Linked DNA regions of Drosophila melanogaster. The protein of the gene in region 1 interacts with the protein of each later gene in a pairwise test. Each region holds a gene or a part of one and is shown in the gene's direction. Other genes may lie near its edges.

The links.
Region 2: the proteins of CG8320 (region 1) and CG14411 interact in a two-hybrid assay, tested with the Drosophila melanogaster proteins (one large-scale study listed by BioGRID).
Region 3: the proteins of CG8320 (region 1) and tap interact in a two-hybrid assay, tested with the Drosophila melanogaster proteins (one large-scale study listed by BioGRID).
Region 4: the proteins of CG8320 (region 1) and lute interact in a two-hybrid assay, tested with the Drosophila melanogaster proteins (one large-scale study listed by BioGRID).

What each region holds. Positions count from the first base shown.
Region 1 is NT_033778.4:15,990,804-15,994,231, forward strand, and holds CG8320 (uncharacterized protein), read left to right. Parts: upstream 1-1,604; 5' UTR 1,605-1,642; intron 1,643-1,780; 5' UTR 1,781-1,903; coding exon 1,904-1,909; intron 1,910-1,974; coding exon 1,975-2,130; intron 2,131-2,189; coding exon 2,190-2,326; intron 2,327-2,383; coding exon 2,384-2,609; 3' UTR 2,610-2,904; downstream 2,905-3,428. Other genes in the region: CG8314 (uncharacterized protein), read right to left, coding at 56-343; Pex11ab (peroxin 11a/b), read right to left, coding at 691-1,244, 1,298-1,469; ATPCL (ATP citrate lyase), read right to left, coding at 3,425-3,428. UniProt on the Drosophila melanogaster protein: May play an important role during development and helps to maintain proper levels of Fz.
Region 2 is NC_004354.4:14,831,021-14,836,792, forward strand, and holds CG14411 (uncharacterized protein), read left to right. Parts: upstream 1-1,626; 5' UTR 1,627-1,925; exon of another isoform or gene 1,926-1,940; intron 1,941-2,123; 5' UTR 2,124-2,233; coding exon 2,234-4,765; 3' UTR 4,766-5,242; downstream 5,243-5,772. Other genes in the region: CG14408 (uncharacterized protein), read right to left, coding at 72-490, 584-646, 721-762; CG14410 (uncharacterized protein), read left to right, coding at 5,705-5,772.
Region 3 is NT_037436.4:17,357,990-17,362,313, forward strand, and holds tap (target of poxn), read left to right. Parts: upstream 1-1,692; 5' UTR 1,693-1,803; coding exon 1,804-3,000; 3' UTR 3,001-3,822; downstream 3,823-4,324. UniProt on the Drosophila melanogaster protein: May play a role in the specification of the sugar-sensitive adult gustatory neuron and affect the response to sugar and salt. Regulated by POXN.
Region 4 is NT_033777.3:17,378,243-17,382,983, forward strand, and holds the start of lute (lute), read left to right. Parts: upstream 1-1,701; 5' UTR 1,702-1,893; intron 1,894-3,886; exon of another isoform or gene 3,887-4,164; intron 4,165-4,260; exon of another isoform or gene 4,261-4,525; intron 4,526-4,741.

The sequences.
Region 1 (3,428 bases):
GCCGCCTACATACATAGATAAGGTAGTATAAAGTGCATGGCCATCAGCAACTCACCGGATCCGAGAGCATTGTGCGTATGTGCGAGGCGAAGGCCAGGAAGGCGAGTGCCTGGAATATGATCATGTTGATGGTACTGAAGACGGTATAGTTGCTGGGCAGAAGGATCAGCCGCATGACCACGAATTCGGCGAACAGGATAAGCAGCCAGGTCATGATTACGCACACAATGCCGCAGATGTCCTTGACGCACCAGGCCTTGTTTCCGCAACATCGGTTGTGCTGGTCAACGCCACCGAATCCTCCGCTACCGCCGGGCGACAGCGCGGAGTACGAGTAGTTCATGGTGTCCGGATGCAGCCCACGCACATGTGACGCATCGGCCTCGTCAATTCCGTGATAACGCCACCGGACTGCGGACCATTAGCCAAAAGGCGTTTGATAAACAGCAAACGCAAAGCAAGAAAACACAACTAGCAATGTGCCATTCGCGTCCGCGGATATGGCGTCAGCTGTTTGCCATTCGCCCAAGGGCGCTGACAGGGTGAGGATAACCAAGGTGACGGTTTAATAAAATCGTTTGTTTATCATTCAGCTTAATCCGAGCACAAATACAAATACAATACATACAACACTTAAAATAGATACAAGGAAATACAGGCCCTTATCTACAAAGTTTCCAATATCAGGTGTTATGCAGGCGTTAGCTTGGCCCTCGGTTCCAGCAGAGCCCAGAGTCCAGCCAGCGATGAAATTGCCCCCAGGAGTCCAATTGTCCGGGGCGTGAGACTTGTGTAACCCAGAGCCGTCAGCGGAATGAAGAAGTCGCACGCATTCTTCACCGTGTCCACAACTATGTCTTTGTGTCCCTGCATCAGCACGTAGGACTGCAGGGCAAGGCGCTTAAAGTCCTCCGGCGAGTTGATGCTCGCGGGGATGCGGCAGCGCGAAATGCCGCTCTTGCTACCGGATCGATGCAGGTCCAGTACTCTCAGGATCTCGTAGAAGTCCCGGCACAAGTTCATTATGATCGAGAAGAGCCAGTACTTATTGGCGATGTTGGACCAGCGCTTGGCGTTCACCGCCGTCAGTCCCGTCCTGGCCAGCCAGAGGAAGTGATCGGCGAAGAGGAACAGCGATTGTGACAGCTTGCTTAAGGTGAGCGTCACACGGATGTTAAGATCCGGATGGTGAATGGTCTTCAGAGCGCCGTAGAATACATCAACGCACTTACCAAAGCGGAGTACTGAGTTGAAATGAGATTAGCTACGTGCTCGTGGAATACCTTAGAATACCTACATTTTCGGAATGTGCTCAGGATGTATTCAACCGTCTTGAAGTTGTCCACAAGCGCTGGATTGGAATTGGCGGACTCCAGCGAGTCCCACATTGCACGCGAGGCATACTGAATAAGTCGGGCGATTTTGTCCCGTCCGCCAGCCTGATTGTTCAACTGCACCAGTTGATCCATATTTATGTTGTGACCGCACAGCTCGTTGGACAGCTAAAATCAAAATTATGCCAAATCCAAAATCCAAAGTTCGATTATTAGGCTGAGGGCCCAGCAGCTGTTCTGCCGCTTCACTGTGAATGGCAAGTTTTTTTTTTAATAAACCAGCACCGTGGGCGTAGATTGAATATATTGTGGGTGCAACAATTTGTAAATAATATATTAAGAGCAAATTAAAATAAGTAAATTGCTTAAGTACCTTTCCATTACAGTTTTAAATGCTATATTTACCCTTAATATCACTTTCCCTCTACGGCCATGCTTAACATAAGTAATGCGCACGTTTCACAGCACTGTCGTTTCAACACCGTTTTGTTCAGTTGAAGACGTCGCCACGTAAATAGTGGTCCGATTTTAGATTTTGAAATAGCTGACACACAACTTGCAATCCCACCATGGCTGTAAGTGTAACTAGCACAGGGATAACGCTCTCAAGGATTACATAAAACCGCTTGTCCACTTTCAGCCCCAGCAAAAGGGTAAACAAGGCACGAAGGGCGCCAAGCAAATCGTGGAGGAAAACAAGACTACACTGACTTTCTACCGGAACATGGCCATTGGATGTGCTGCACCCGCTCTGCTCCTCAGTTTCCTGGTCTTCGAAGTCACCAAAACCTCAGTGGTAGGCCGCCGAAAATCCCCCTCAATGAACTCAATCATCAGCCTCTCGTTCTTTATTAGTTTATGCACATTCTTTCGTTGCTGATCCTGGGGAGCTCCTACCAGTTTATGGCGTTCATGTCGCAGGCCAAATACTCTGAGAGCGGTGCTCTTTTGGACTCCGGCAACGACTTAAATATGGAAGGCGGCATCGCGGAGTAAGTGCACCCACAGAAGCTTTGAAGTACTCTGCCTACACATGATTCTCCCTCTAGAAACGTTAAGGATTTGATCATCCTTACTTCCGGCACCCTGCTGCTGGCCCTCATCTCAAACTACTTCTGGTTGGTGCTGCTTTTGGCGCCCATACGAGCTGGATGGATGCTCTGGGGCTCCGTCATCCAGCCGTGGCTGTCGCAACGCAACGCCCAGGACGATAATCCCCAGGTGGACGAGAAAAAGCAAAAAAAGATGGATCGCAGAATGCGTCGCATGAGATAGAAGCCACTTTCCGAGTTGACCTGGTGGTTAAGGGGTTCCTGGTTTTAATGAGATTCTACGCTTAGTTGTGTGTGCGTTTCCAATTTGTTAATTGTTCAGCAAATTAAACTGCTCGAGACAAAGACAATTCATTGTTTTAGTTAGTCAAAGCATTTGTGCGATTTAATTGCGGTGAATTTTTAAAGACGCAAACTTTGCGAGGGAAATTGCATTTCCTCAAGGCTGCCTCCCATTTTTTGTGCATTGTAAATATTCGTGTAATTGTTTATAAATAAATGTGCTTCAGTGCAGCAGGAACTAGTGCAGTGTCCGTTTCTCTTCGAGATGCTGGCAAAGGAAGCGTGGGATTTAAAGAACAAATAGTAAAGGAAGGGTGACAAAAATAAAATTAAGCTTTTGCAACAATTTATTCTCTTGTTGTCTAGACAATTGTGAGCATCCAAACTAAAGTATAAAAGTATCAAATAATGTTATGCCGGGTACTGGTGTGTTGTGCGGCTCGGAGCACTAGATTTAACTAGGTCTAGATTCCAAAACCCCTAAGGGCTCCGGGGACACGCAGCGCTTACAAAAACAACGAGGGTAATGATGGTAACTTAAGAACTTTAAATGCAGGATAAGTGAGAGGGAAAGGGATCTGGGGAGAGTCACATGCGCGGATAGACCTCAATGGATCCTTCCAGCCAGCGGAGCGGGTGACCTCTTTGCCTAACATCATACATCTGTGCTTAACTACAACAACTTCCGAATAATATATATGCTTGTATATACGTAAATATATATATATAACATCGTCGCGGCTTCATCAGCACGCCTTAG
Region 2 (5,772 bases), on another chromosome or scaffold:
GAAAGAGGTTTCTGTGACCTGGTTCTTGGTTCTTAAGCAGTATTCCTTGAAGGGAACCCCATGAACTTTACCTGGATGCCCGAAGCGCTTGCTTAAGCTGACCCTGGAGCTTGCCGACCCGGTTATTGGCCACCTCGAGCTTCAGCTGGCACATCTTGAGGGCATTGCGGGTGTCGGTGACCTCCAGCTGGGACTGATTGACCTTGCTGGCGGCGTGGCTAAGCATCTCCTGGCAGGCGGTGTCCAGCGTCGACTTCTCGCCCAGACCCTGTTCGGCCAGGTAGACCATCTCCTTGGCGGCGGCATGAATGGACTTGGCCTTCTCGTGGTTGGCGGCGGCCAATTGCGTTTCCTTGGCCAACTGGGCGGCGTAGATGCGAGATTCGTAGTACGGCTTGGCGGCATCAATCGAGTTGCCCAGCTTGTGGGCGGCTGCCTTGATTCTCACCACACTTTCCGCCAGCAAACGCTTGAATTCGCACTTGGCCTCCTTTTTTTTTTGGTTTGTTTTGGGACAGAGATCGCAAGCAATAATGGTAAGTAACTGGGGTAACTGGGGAAAAATCAATACTCGCCCACTCACATCGAGCTCCACTTCGTATCGGTTGATGTTGTCCGTGGCGGAGTTCAGCTTCTCCAGCTCCACCTAAGCGGGCTCCCGAGGATTAGGTTGTTTGGCATATGTAGGTGTATGTATGTATGTGTGTAGGTGGTACCTACCTGGACCCTCGGATCCACGGGCGTGTTGCTCTCCGTTGACATGGTGCCTGGCTGATTTGTGGGGGAGGGGGATTGGGGTGGTCGATTCTCGGGTCTTGCCTGGATTTCACCGTGGAGTTGCCGTAATGGATGCAGTGCAGCAGGGCAGCGGGGCAGCGGGCTCGTTCAGTGGGTCAATTGCATCTGGGAATGCGATTCATTTTCCACGGCACATCGCGAATAGCAAAAGCAAAGCAAATCGAATCAATCGTGGAATGGAATCAAGCGAGCTTTTGCAGACACAATTATGACAACACGCTCCGGAGCTTTTGCGTTTGGCAAGCGCAAAAAGCTCTGGTCAGCTGCTTTTTACCGTTGCAAAGCGCGTAGAAACTATCGTTATCTTCTATTCCTAGGCAAATATCGATAAGTAAATAAAAAAAATTTCTCAGTTATTACGAATATATTATTACGAGATATCAAATAAAAACAAACAAATTTCTTTTATTCACTTGCGATTGGAACTCAGAATATGGGCGGTTCCCACTGTAATGCCATTATCTCAAAAACTGTGAATAATTATTCTATAAAATTTTCTGAAATGTCCTTAAAGAAATTACCTTTAAGGTAGTCTATTCAATTGCAATTCTTTTTAATTGCATATTTTATATACCTTCTTGAGTCCTATAAACTTAAGTCGTGGTAGATAGTAAGATTAATCATTTTTATTTTATTCGAATTCACCGCCAAACGAAAAACTAAATAAATAAAATAATGTAAAATTCTAAAGCAAATTAAAATTAAAAAGAACTGCCACACTTTTCACTTTCCATCGTTCCACGAGCAACGCTTAGTCATCGCCGTTTGCTTGACGCGCTCACGAAATACTGGAATCGACGGCGCCTGGTCACACAGCACCGATTGCACCTAGTGTCATGTGCGTGCATGTGTGTGCGTGTGTGTGTCAGTGTGTCGTATGAATTGTGGCGACCAAGTGCGCGAATAAAAATAAGTAAATAAATGCACATTGCGAGCGACGGTGCGTGTGTGCAGGCGCCAGATGGTGCACTTGGATGACCCCAACAACGAGTGACCCCGCTCGAAACGCATTCGAAGTTCGAAATCCGAAATACCAAAATCCAAAATCCAGAGACAACAGCCGCAGCAGCAGCAGCGGCAGCGGCAACAACAAAACGGCGATCGCTCGCACACACACGCACACACAGGTAGTAATCCGAACGGTAAGTTGCGTTCCAACTGATAAAAACTTATCACACCCCCCCCCCCCCCTCGAAAATAACGTGAATGGAAAAGATTCGATAATTCGAGTTTTGCTGCTCCACTTGTCACCTCATCTGTTTCCATTTGTCATATATTCATTTGCTCCAAATTCCGCTTTCTTTCGTTGCTTGCATGGCACACAGACAGCAGCGGAATAACGGTAAAGCTAGCGCCGACACCCACCCCCCCCCTCCCCGCCAGACAGGAAGTGGTGAATAATTGAATATTCCAACAACGTACCACCGACTAAATAATGGCCACGGGCGGCGGTGGCAGCGGCCACGGGGGAGCGGGATCCGCCGGAAATGCTGACCACCACAAGCGCAACACCTTCACCAGCTATGTGGCACCGCTACCCGGAGATTTGCGCGCCACAGCGGACACGAACGAATGGTGCCTGCCCAGCGATTTGAGGGACGTCCATCTGGCCAAGCCGCGACTGCTGCACGGCGAGCAGATAGTGGCATCGGCACCAGCCTACATGTACTCACCGATCGATCCGATGGACAGCAGCGGAGGCAGTGGCTCTACGCTCAGCGCCATATCATCTGCGTCCGGTACGCCAGCGGATCGTCATCACAAAGAGGCCACCTTCGGACTGTTGAGTGTCACCAATTTTAAGCTGGCCTTTGTGCCGCTGCATGAAAAGCGTAATCAAGCGATCACAGCGCCACTGATCGATCTATATCAGGAGAATACCTATTTGGGCCGCAATGAGATTACGCTAAACAACATCGATCATATCTATACCATTACCGAGCTGGGACGGGCGGCCAGTGCGCTGCAGGCGGCGCGAGGCATGGCCAGCCATGCGGGCATGAGCAGGCGCAAAAAACTGGAGCCCTTCAAGCAGCAGAACATCAGCGGTCGCATCGCCGCCCTGCATATCGTGTGCAAGAACTTTCGCCTGCTGAAATTCGCCTTCCAGCAGCAGGATTCGAAGATGTTTGGGGCCAGTGATCAGGGCAAACTGATTGCCTCGGCCCTGGTGCGTTTCGCTTATCCAATGCGGCATGATCTGAGCTTCGCCTATGCTCATCGAGAGCCATACTATTCGACACTGGGCGCATCCGGCACTAGTATGTATGCGACGAAAAACGACTGGGCCAGAGAGCTGATACGCTGCGGCGCCACCGAGTGGCAGGTGGTTAGCTGTGCCAGTGTCCAGCTGCTGCAGAATCCCCTCCAGGCGGGCAAGTACACTGTGCCGCCGCATTTTGTCATACCGAAGAGCTGCAGCGTGGATCGATTCCTGGATCTGTCGCGCGCCTTCTGCGATTCACGAGCTGCCTTCTGGGTGTATAGCTATGGGAGCAGCGCGGCACTGGTCAGATTAGCTGAACTGCAGCCGGCTGCGCAGCAGGACACCAAATCGGAGAATGTGATGCTGGAGCTGGTGCGCAAATGTGATGCGGGGCGACAGCTGAAGCTCCTACAGCTGACGGATCGCCTGCCGAGCATTCAGGATGTGCTGCGCGCCTATCAGAAGCTGAGGCGCCTATGCACGCCGGAAACGCCGGAGAAGTTTATGCTGCAGGATGACAAGTACCTGGGACTACTCGAAAAGACCAACTGGCTGTTCTATGTGTCGTTGTGCCTACGCTATGCTAGTGAAGCGTCTGCCACGCTGCGCAGCGGCGTTACCTGTGTCCTCCAGGAGTCGAATGGCCGTGATCTCTGCTGTGTGATTAGCAGTCTGGCGCAGCTATTGCTCGATCCGCATTTCCGTACTATCGATGGCTTCCAATCGCTGGTGCAGAAGGAGTGGGTGGCCCTGGAGCATCCGTTTCAGCGACGCCTGGGTCATGTCTATCCTGCCCAGCCGGCCGGCGGTAATGCCGAACTATTCGACAGCGAACAGAGTCCAGTGTTTCTGCTCTTCCTCGATTGCGTGTGGCAGCTGTTGCAGCAGTTCCCCGACGAGTTCGAGTTCACGCAGACATACCTGACCACGCTGTGGGACTCGTGCTTCATGCCCATCTTCGATACCTTCCAGTTCGATACGCAGGCCCAGCGACTGAAGGCGGTGACCGACTCGCAGCTCGTCCTGCGTCCCGTTTGGGATTGGGGCGAGCAGTTCTCGGACAAGGACAAAATGTTCTTTAGCAATCCGCTGTACCAGCGCCAAAGGGGCGATCTTGGCGCCCAGGCGGCTGCCGTGGCGCATCGCAGATCCCTGGCGGTGGGTAGTAAGGGAGCGCATGGCGCCGCTAGTGGTGTCACACCCTCGCGCAACACCATCAATCCGCAGCTCTTTGCGACCGCTTCGTCAGTGCCGCAGGATCGTTACCTGCAGCCGGCACATCGCATCTTCGATCTGCAGGTGTGGGATCAGTGCTACTACCGCTGGCTGCCCATTTTGGATATACGCGGCGGCGGCCAGCCGCAGGTGGATCTCTATCATCGCCTGCTGCTGAGCAACATAGCAAAGGTACAGCGCTGCCTGGATTATCAAAACTTTGACGATCTACCCGATGCGTATTACGAGTTCGCCGGCGAATCGCGTCCCAATCAGCACAAGGACGAGAAGCCCGACAAGGAGGACGAGGCCGAGTTCGTCGACGGTGTGGAGCGGCGCAGGAAGCCGACGGCGAAGGCCGCCACACCCACTAGCGGACTCACATCGGTTACCGGCAATCTGCAGCTATCGACCCTGTCGTCGTTCTTTCCCTTCGGGAATCCCATCGCCGGAGATGCACCGCTCCAGCTGTACGACATTCTGAGCAGCAGCAGCGAGCTGCTGATGGAGACCTCATCCTTTCTGGACAAGTCGTCCATTGTCTGATCCGCACACAAATCGGAGACACCACCACACACACACTCGTTCCACTTGTTTATTCAAAACGCTGAACTTTCGAAGTATTACACAAAAAACAGAATATAATTTGAGAAGAAGAAGAAAAAACACACACACACACACACACACAGAGGTGCAATTTCCTCACATATACATGGCATATCGCTTTTAACACTTTTGATTATTGTTAACTAATAAGCAAGTTATGGTATAAGTTTTTTTTTATTTCGTTTTACTACCACCAAACTGCATTGCATCGCTGCATTATAAAATTAAACGTAAATAATACGATTAACAAACGTAACGACAAGCAATTGATGTAAAACGAATTCAAAACACAAATCCGCAAAAACGAAAACGTACGAAAACACCAATTAAATCAATATGTATTATATTGTATGTAACTAAATATATGAAAGACTATTGATCGATATGTATATTTAAATAAATCAAATGTGTAAAATCAACAAAATGTGTTCTGATTGCGGCAACTTTTGAGAATTAAACGAATTAGGAACTATGAATATATATGGGTGAGTCAGCAAAAAAAATCGCATTAATATGTAAGCTTATGATTTTAAATTGAAGTGGATAGTTGGATAATTGAAAAGATAAAATAATTGACTAACAGTTTGGCTTTCGAAACGATTTGTGTTTGCTATTCTGAATAATTTTGGGTTCTTAATGTAACTCAATAAAAAGTTTAAGATTTTATAATTTAAAAAAAAGGAGCCATATAAGGGTTAACATAATTACAAGCTTCGATAAATAACTGTTTAATTCCCGATTTTTATTTATGATTTCATTTTATAGTTCGCTTGGACTTTCAGTTATAATCATAGCACATAGAAGTTATAATGAATTTATAAATATGCTATTATTATAATTTATTATTGGCACGAGAAACTAGATTAAACACTCAGCGAAATGGGTAATACAAATACGTTCAAGGACATAAAGGATTACACAATGAAAATCATTATAATTACAGAACG
Region 3 (4,324 bases), on another chromosome or scaffold:
TTTCTTCTCATGTAAGAAACATTGTTAGTAGTACTTAGCTCTTATAAAGATATTGATACAAACTACCATTAATATTCTGTTTAAAACTTCAATATAAATATATTTATATATATTTATATATATAAATATATTTATATATATATAAATATATTTTATAAGTTACGAAAACACTCATTGTACTGATCATACAAGAAAACTGATTAAAAAATAAATAAATAAGTATACCATTAAGTATTTGTTTATTTATATAAAACTATCTTGGTTTTGAAATCTATAAGGAAATTAATCAAACATCAGCTCTACTTAGTACATTTTTCATAACATACTTAGCTACCTTATAAAGCACTATTAAAGAAAAAATTGATGGTGTCACAATTACTGAAGCAAGGTTTATATTTTTTCAACAAAAGCACTCAATTCATTTCCATTAGGAGGAACTGCCTGAAATGTGGCATATTACTAAATTAGCCCCCTCGACACTCAAGTTCTCACTCGTGCTGGTAATTTGCGGCAATTGCCGCATATCATAACAAATCCGCACGTGGCACCCGTCGCCCACTTGAAATTGCAACTCCGATCCTCCTTTAACAGGATTGCCACAGATAGGAATCCCACATCGGCACACTTTGCCACTTGAGCAGCCGTTAAGACCGCGGCACGTGGCAACGCCTGGGTTTTCTACCAGGAGGATGGAGTCCTGTGGGAGTGAGAGCTTTCCGTTGAATACACATGTTGCTTTTGGTAAGTGGAGGCGGCATCCTGGCCACGTGCCACTAACCCGTTTAGCGACAGGCGTAAGCCCTAAACGATTATTGCGGTTTAGTTGCGAAAGGCGAAAGAGTTGATGGTAATTGAATCTTTTGAATTGCAATCGCATTATTTCGATGTGGCGATAAAACAAAATAACAATTTATTTAGTCCACGAAGCACACATACTCTATATATGTAGGAAAGGGTAAGAAATCTTTTAGTACGGAAATGGATTAAATCTCGTCCGAAAATTATACCTACACCGAAAATATAACAAAGTCGTAATGATCCGAAGATATCATATTAAACAAAAGTATTCCCTATTTCAAATAATTTTTGGATTTATCCTTAAACTAAGTGATTTTTACAAAATATATAATAATATAATATTTCTTCTTTTAATTTAACTATAATATAAAGCATATCTTAAATTGACCAACAATACTACTCATTCATTAATATAAATATAATTAAGTTTAAGCTGTGCAGTAAGCACATTGTATTTAAATAACCCTAGAGGAAGGGTATGACTATAGAGACGAGCTTTGATGATGCCGTTGGCGACACCGCTGATCCTCGGACGCAGACATCCTTCCGATTGGCCTAGAGAGCACCGCTCGCAGCGAAGCGTGAAAAATGCTCGTATTTTGACTGGTAGCGGCGGCCCGCAGAACGAATCTCCATCTCCAGGAAGTTCACCCCGCTGCAGGCAGTTCTAGCTAGACGACGTTGGTGTGTGAGTTGGCAAAAGCCACCCCCGGGCGGCAATCACGGCGCATATCTGTTGGGATTTGTGTCGGGGTTCTGTGCTCTCTACTTTGCGCTATGGCGCCGCCACGACCGACGACAATGCGCCGAGGGTTGATGCCTGTTAGTCCGGACCCAAATCAGCGGGCTTAATGGCTGGCCGGGCACATAAAACCGGTGCGCACTCCTCGCCAGCTTTTAGTTGGTGCGGGCACGCGAGACGCGAAGAAACAACTCTCTCAAAGCGGAAATCGTAAATCGGAAATGTGCTAAAGGATATACACACCGTGATACAGATACGAGATCATGGCCGCCTGCTACAATGCCTATAGCGCTGGATCACAGTCCTTCGAGTTCGACGAGGACGACGACGACGCCTCCTTCGACAGTGGCTACGAGAAGAGTTTCGAGACGGAGGCCCAGTTGAGCTCACGACGCCGCTTGGACTTTGGCACTCCGCCGACTCCGGCGATCCCGCAACCGTACTCCGGCGGCACCTGGGACGCCGTACCGCTCAGCTCACCGCCGGCGGGCTTCGTGGGATTGCTCGATACGAGCAGCAATCACAGCACTCGGAGCGGCAGGACACTGGTCGAACATCTGAACAGTCGGGCCACGAATGGCGTCTTCGATCCGCCATTGACCAGTACGCCGGTGAAGTCGCCAGAGGATCCCAATGCGCCGCGACCGAAACGCAAATATGCCGTCGGCAAGAACAGAGTAACTCGCTCGCGCAGTCCAACCCAAGTGGTGAAGATCAAGCGTTTCCGCCGCATGAAGGCCAATGACCGGGAGCGGAATCGGATGCATAACTTGAATGATGCCCTGGAGAAACTACGCGTCACTCTGCCCTCGCTTCCCGAGGAGACGAAGCTGACGAAGATCGAGATTCTGCGATTTGCGCACAACTACATCTTTGCCCTGGAGCAGGTGCTGGAAAGCGGAGGTTCAATCAACCTGGATCTGGAGAAGCTGCAGAACTTCACGCTGAGTGGTGAGAGGATTACCAAGGAGCTCTTCGATGCTCTTTTCGTGAATCCACAGCCGTATCCCTTGTTCGGACGAATGTTCCCCTATGGACAGGGAATGGCGCCTCTTGCACAGCACCAGACTGCTCCAGCATCGCACGCGGAGCAGCCGCCGGCGATGGGTGGCTTTCAGCACGGCATGGACTATCCGCAGCAGCCACCAGGATTCGACTTTACAGGCAGCATGCGGTTTTACCACCAACAGCAACAGCAGCCGCATCAGCCTCACCATCTGCAGCCTAATCCCCAGCAGGAGTCCAGCCCGCAGCAGTTCTCGCAGGAGAAATACGATCTGTTCAGGGGATCCTTCGATGCAGCTGCCAATCTTCATTCTACGAACTTGGATTCTGGGATTCACCAGCAGAGCAGCTTCTACTCGCAAACACCGCCATGGAAGGACTATCCGGAGGATCAGGCACACGTGCATCCCGTTCCACATCAACACAGCTACAAAAACTTCGCCCCGCAGGTGTAGCACAGTTTTGTGGGCCAAACTACGATCTTAGGGTTTTCAGCGTGATATACTAAAAGATTGCCGGAAATTGCAGGAAACTGATCAAGGGGAATTCCTCTAAGCGATTTGCCCTTGACTTACTTTAAAAACATAACTAAAGTAACTTATGGGTCCTATCTCGGGATTTCCCTTCCTTACTTTTCTCAACTTTCCTGCAATCCGTTGATATTGGTAATAAGCGAGGCACCTAATTGACTGCTAAGATTATCATCAAGTTTGAAAATGAAATATCTTTAAAAATTGTATATTTCACACTTGCGCTAATCTTTGAACTCAATTAGTTTCATGTTATAGAGGGATCCTCAATAGATTAACCAATTTAAAGTCAAACATCCAAAGTTAAGCTTCACGAACTCATTATTAATTCATATGAATTCCCATTATATTTGTATTCATTGGCTTCCTTCTTGCGGATCTCTGGTGAATATTTGAATTAAAAGTGCTTAGGGTAATCAATTTTCCAAAAAGCACTCTTCTTCTCAACATATTCGCATTCTTCTTGACTATATAGTACAAATCGGTTGTCCATTTAGTGTAAGCGATACGTACCTTGCCATTCTAGATTTAAGACCTATCTATAAGGATTCTTAAAATGAACCAGGTATTAGCCATAATTAACTGTACAATCGATTAAGTGTATGTAGGTTATGCCAGATTCTATATCAGTTATTGCAATGCAAGGAAAGCGAGCTAGTCAGGGCCAGAACTTTAAGGTGATAAGATTGAATTTCGATGTAAAACCATAAAGATTTATTTTTGCAAATAAAGTTGACGATCAAAACGAGCCAGAAAATGGTTTTGCGAGTGGGAAGAATGGACGAACTCCTGGACAAAGTCAAAAATAGTAGCCAAAGCAAACAACCCTGGAATCAGTGTACCGCTGTGTGCGGATTTCAGGTCCCAAACAAAGGACTTAAATTCAAATAAATATTGTATATTGCAGGGCACATAAAACGAATGGCTTTGTGTGTGTGCACTGCAGCTTGTTCTTATCGTAGGGGGCACTTTTCGCCCTTACAATTCGACATGGGGTGAGTTCAAGTAGAAACCGAACTCGAACTCCCGGCTCGGCCTTCATAGCTCGAACAATGGAAGATTGCCGTCACCTGCCACACAATTACAAAACGAATGTACCAACAGCAGCAGTCAGGACCAAACAGGGAATCCTGAAACATGAGCTGTGAGCCAGTGGACCTGCATGAATGCCACTCAAATTATTTAGTTGAATGAACCGAACCGGCAAGAGTCGAGGGAAATGCTTTACTGCTTTACTGCCTAACTGGGT
Region 4 (4,741 bases), on another chromosome or scaffold:
AGCTGTATGGTGGTCACTGGAGTTGCACAATTTCATTTTACATAATTGTTAAAATAATTATTCAAGATAATGACAAAATAAGTGGTAGGCCATATCGGCTTTTATTATTCATATAATTACAGAAAAGATACTTTGCTTTACACAATTTAACTCATAATAAAGTCGAAAACATAGCGGAGCAATTTTTGGTAGACAGCTTAAGAAACCACATTGAAATACTTATACCACACACCGTTCATTTGAGCATAATTTTTGAAGCACTGGTGTTCATCATAAAACAATGATAAATAAATATTCAAATCTAGATGCACTAAATGCAAAACCTCAAATATACATCTCATACCGAAATTCTTTGCCCTAAAATGTCCGATTATAAACTTTGTACCTCAATGAGCTACATTTTATTCATCCATCCACCCGGAGGTTAGCACATTATCCCGGAACTCACTGCTAATCCTTTGCCCTTCCCGAGCTCCCGAGTCGGTTGTTTGTGCAGCGCCACTTGACACACAAAGCCAGATGCTGGTAAACGTCAACCCCTGCTGGTCGAGTAAAGGGGGTGGACTGTATGGAAGATGCTTGTCAAAGTCTCGCCAACTGTGCTCCTCAAACAAAATAACACAAAAAAAAAGGAACTCCGCAAAGGAGGAAAAAAATTATTTATTAAACCCTAATGAATGGGCACATTTGTGGAGGCCCAGAAGAGGCGGTCCTCAAACTCTGGCGCCCCCTGAAGCAGCCGCTTGGCCACCGCCCCTGCTTTTTGTTGCTACTGCCGCTCGTCGAGTGGTCCACTTGAAAAATGATGCCGCTGATGCGGTGACTGCGAACTGTGATCGGAAACTGTGACTGCGACTGCATTGACCCTTCAGCGCAGCGCCCACTCATCTGCCACAGCTGTTACTTGAGCTGCTGCTGATGGGGGCAGAAACCGTTACTGCTGCACTAAAAGAAATATATGCTAACTTCAAATCAATCTATGGCCTTAAGATATATATTATGTGGGCTCCCTTCCATACTTAGTAATAATATAGTATTCTATAGAGATTTACTTAATATATGAATTATTTATTAATTGGATTATTTTTAATTTAATTTGTTTCTCGCAGTGTTATGCTTCGCTTTTTGACAGTTGCCAACAGGGCTGCTGTTGCTAATGGTTTCTTAATGTTGCCGCCCCTTGTCGCAGCCCATTTGCAGCGATATCCTGCGAATTCTGCAACTGCAGCTAGTGAAATTATTATTATTTAAACTTTATTTTTGCGTTTGTCATGACAGCAATTATCATTCTGATTGCACCGCCGGCTGTCCCCCTCCTGCGCCGTTGATTACTTCTGCATTTGGCGAAAAACGCCAGCGATTTGGGTTCGAGTTTTCAAGTTTCCCTGCCGCCGCCACAATTAACTGCGTTTTGCCGCTTTAATTGTTTTGTAATTGACCAAGAACGCGAGATTAATGGGGAAGTGAAATCTGAGGAAATGTCGCGTACCAGAGTCGTGCAAACAAAACCTAAAATTAAGCGAAAACCCATTCAAATCCAATCGTCGCATTTATCGCATGCAATTTATGTGACCGTCTCAAGGCGAGCGAATGAAAACCGAAGCCAAAGCCATATAGTCGATCGTGGTCCGATCGGCTGGCGAGTCTCGAGTTGCCGGTTTTGGAACTCAGTTGAAAACCTAGTAACTCACTACGAATTCGTTCGTTGACTCGCGCAGTCGCAGTCACAACCGCCAGTCCGTCGAGACGAGAAATACAGCCAAAATTCAAAACGTGGCCGGTCGGTCGTCGCGCATGCGCAAGACAAAAGTAAAAAAAAAATATATATATTCAATTAAAATCCCTCTATGTGTAGGGACCATTTCATCAGTTGTCAGCCAACAAATTACAAAAGTGTGTATATTATTCGCCTGATGTCTTGTTAAAGTAATAATAATCGTTGACAAAGTGCGCGTAGCTCGTTTGTTTGTTCTTCTGTTGACGTTTTAATTTATGTGCAATTTTGTGTTTTTTTTCACTTTTTTTCATCACTCAGCTGACAGCTCGGCGTGCCGGTTGAGCGTAAACGAATGTACAAAAAAAAAACATGCGAAGAAAATTGCTTTGAGTGAAGTGCAAATATAAGCGGGGGGGGGGGGGGGGGTGCATTGAAAAAATCCCCAAAAATTCCGCACAGATAATTGCTTCTAAGCTCGTCGATCGGTTTTGCCCCCAAAACACATTCTCACACCTGTCACGATCATCTTCCCAGCTCTCTCTTTCTGTCCCTGTCTCTGTTTACTGTGTATCAAAGTCATCGAGTTTGGCTGCGGATAAACAGGTGCTGTGGTTAATTAATTGTGCCAATGTTTAACACATTAAGTGCCACCCGGAAAGTGCTTTGCAATGCTAAGTTCAATCAGCGAATCGAAGAATTTCGCTGCCAATGCCACTGCCACAGCCGCTTCATTAACTGCAACCAATAATGAATATCTCTCGAATCAATAATGAATGGTTGCCTAATGATGGACGCCTCCATATCGAAATACAAATATAAACAGTCTGAGATCTCAATCAGGGCTAAAATCTCTTATCAGACTTAGTGTGGCTTAGGTAGTTCCGCCGTGTAATTATCCGTTAGCTGCACTCTCGGTTAATTGCCGAGCATTTGGTTGTAATTTACTGCTCATAACTATGATTTGTGTTTAGAGGCGCTGCTTTTAATGACAGCCTCCCCCCTCCCCCTCTTCCAGGTTTGGGGCTATTTCGAAAATACTTCAATTTAGCGGGCAGCCAAAGTCCCACACTATTTCGTGTTTGTATTTCGAAACAAAGTAAACCTTAGAAAAAAGCTCATAATGCCCCACCCAAAAAGAAGAGGAAAGGTTGGGGAAGCAAACAAAAGACTAAACGTCGAATTCGCATTTAGAATTCCACTCGAAGATCGCTCAGGCTGTAGGCATGAGCACTCAAATATTAAGTAACTCGATGACAATTTATAAGTTTCGACTAATATATATGCAGAATAGGAAACGAAAACGGGTTTCGACTCAAATATTTGACAAAAGAACCAAAAGTCGCCATAGCCACAGAAACCGATTTAGAATTCAGCAAATCATTGTGAGACGAAAGACCATTGAAATGGGAATTTTTCTGGGCCAAAAAGAATCGAATGCAAATAACAAAAGTAAGAGATTGTAAAAAAATGTTAATTCGTCAAGTCATTAGACAAAATGCAACATGACTTACCAAATAATTTCAAGCAATATGAAAAGTGAGTGAGGAAAACTGCATGTTAATGTCTATAAAATTATCCGCAAATTAAAGCGTCTAAAGCCACAGACGCTGGCTGAAAAGCTGAAAAGCTGCAACGCTGAAAGACTGAAAAACCAAAAGACAGACAGACGGTCTGAATAATTGCGAAACAACCTAAGGGCACTCGAACCGAGGTCCAAACTCACATGAACATGAACACCTCAAACAAAAGTCGAGACTCTCAGAAAATGGAACTCTGAAGCTTGACGAGAATTAGACACTCTGGTCCAGAAATATGGCCAGATGAGACGTCAAGCGCAGCGAATGCAAAATATTCATAGAACTTAGCAATTACATAATATTATTGTTTTTACAATGCACAGATTTGAGAAATAAGAGAAGCATTTTAACATATTCCAGATCATCATTCTTAATCCTTTGTACACAATCTGTGCAACATGCATTTTTGACCCCAATTTTGGCTTATACCTAAAACCGAATACTTTTATTTAAATCGTTCCTTGAAACCCTTATCAGATTACAGAGCTGCAAATCGCCGTAAAAATACAAAACAAAAGCACATAAAAAATGTACAAAGTTAGCGAATTGGCCAAAAACCAAAAACAAAAATCAGACAAGCGCGAACAATTTAAGTGCAAAATCGGCAAATCAACGAGCTCTTTTGCCGAAACACTTGACCGACTGATCGCCCCATCGACAGTTCGAGTGCTTTTGGCCAAGAGTTCGACAGGTTATTTTGTTTTTTATTGGCCACGTGAGCGCTAATGTCTGGCAACTGCGATGTGAGGGGCTCCAGAGGTCGATTGCTTTCGCGGCATAGATTTTATCCAGAGAATCCGAGAGCGGGGCGTTCCGGGCCTTATGACGCATTTGGTTAATCAACTAAATGCGTGGCAATTGCAAAACGGCCTGCAACAAAAGGAGCTCGTTAAAAAAGGGCCGCAGAGTAATGGGAAAACAAAAGACTCGACGACATATAGTGACTGCAAGAAAAGAGATACAAACCCTTCATTTTATTTCAGCTTTTTGTACGTTTTTCTGGTTTGCTGTGATCTTGTGCATGTGGTTGAGTTTTATTTTTAATTTGTCTTTTCTTTTTTTTTTTTGGCAAGCATGTAATGAGGAAATAAAAATCGAAAGTGTTACGCGGGCGTTGCTTTGGGGTCTCCCCTTTGCCACCTTTTTTCGGTCAGTGTGCGGCGATTGAGATGGTGGTGACCCGAGACTTGGCCAAAAAGTGGGTCGCACCATTTGCAATTAAAGAGGCAATGAAAAGTGAAATAAGTCCCGAGCTGAGGAAAACAACGACGAATCGTACAATTGACAAAAGGGCGCCCCCAAAGTTAATGCAAGCGGCAAATGCGAGAATCCACCTTTATACCGAAAGTGCATTGGCAGGGCGGAAAATGCGCATTCCATCCATACGAAAATCAGCAATCAGAACTTAAATTAAACAAGCCGAAATTTAAATGTGGCTGGAAAATAA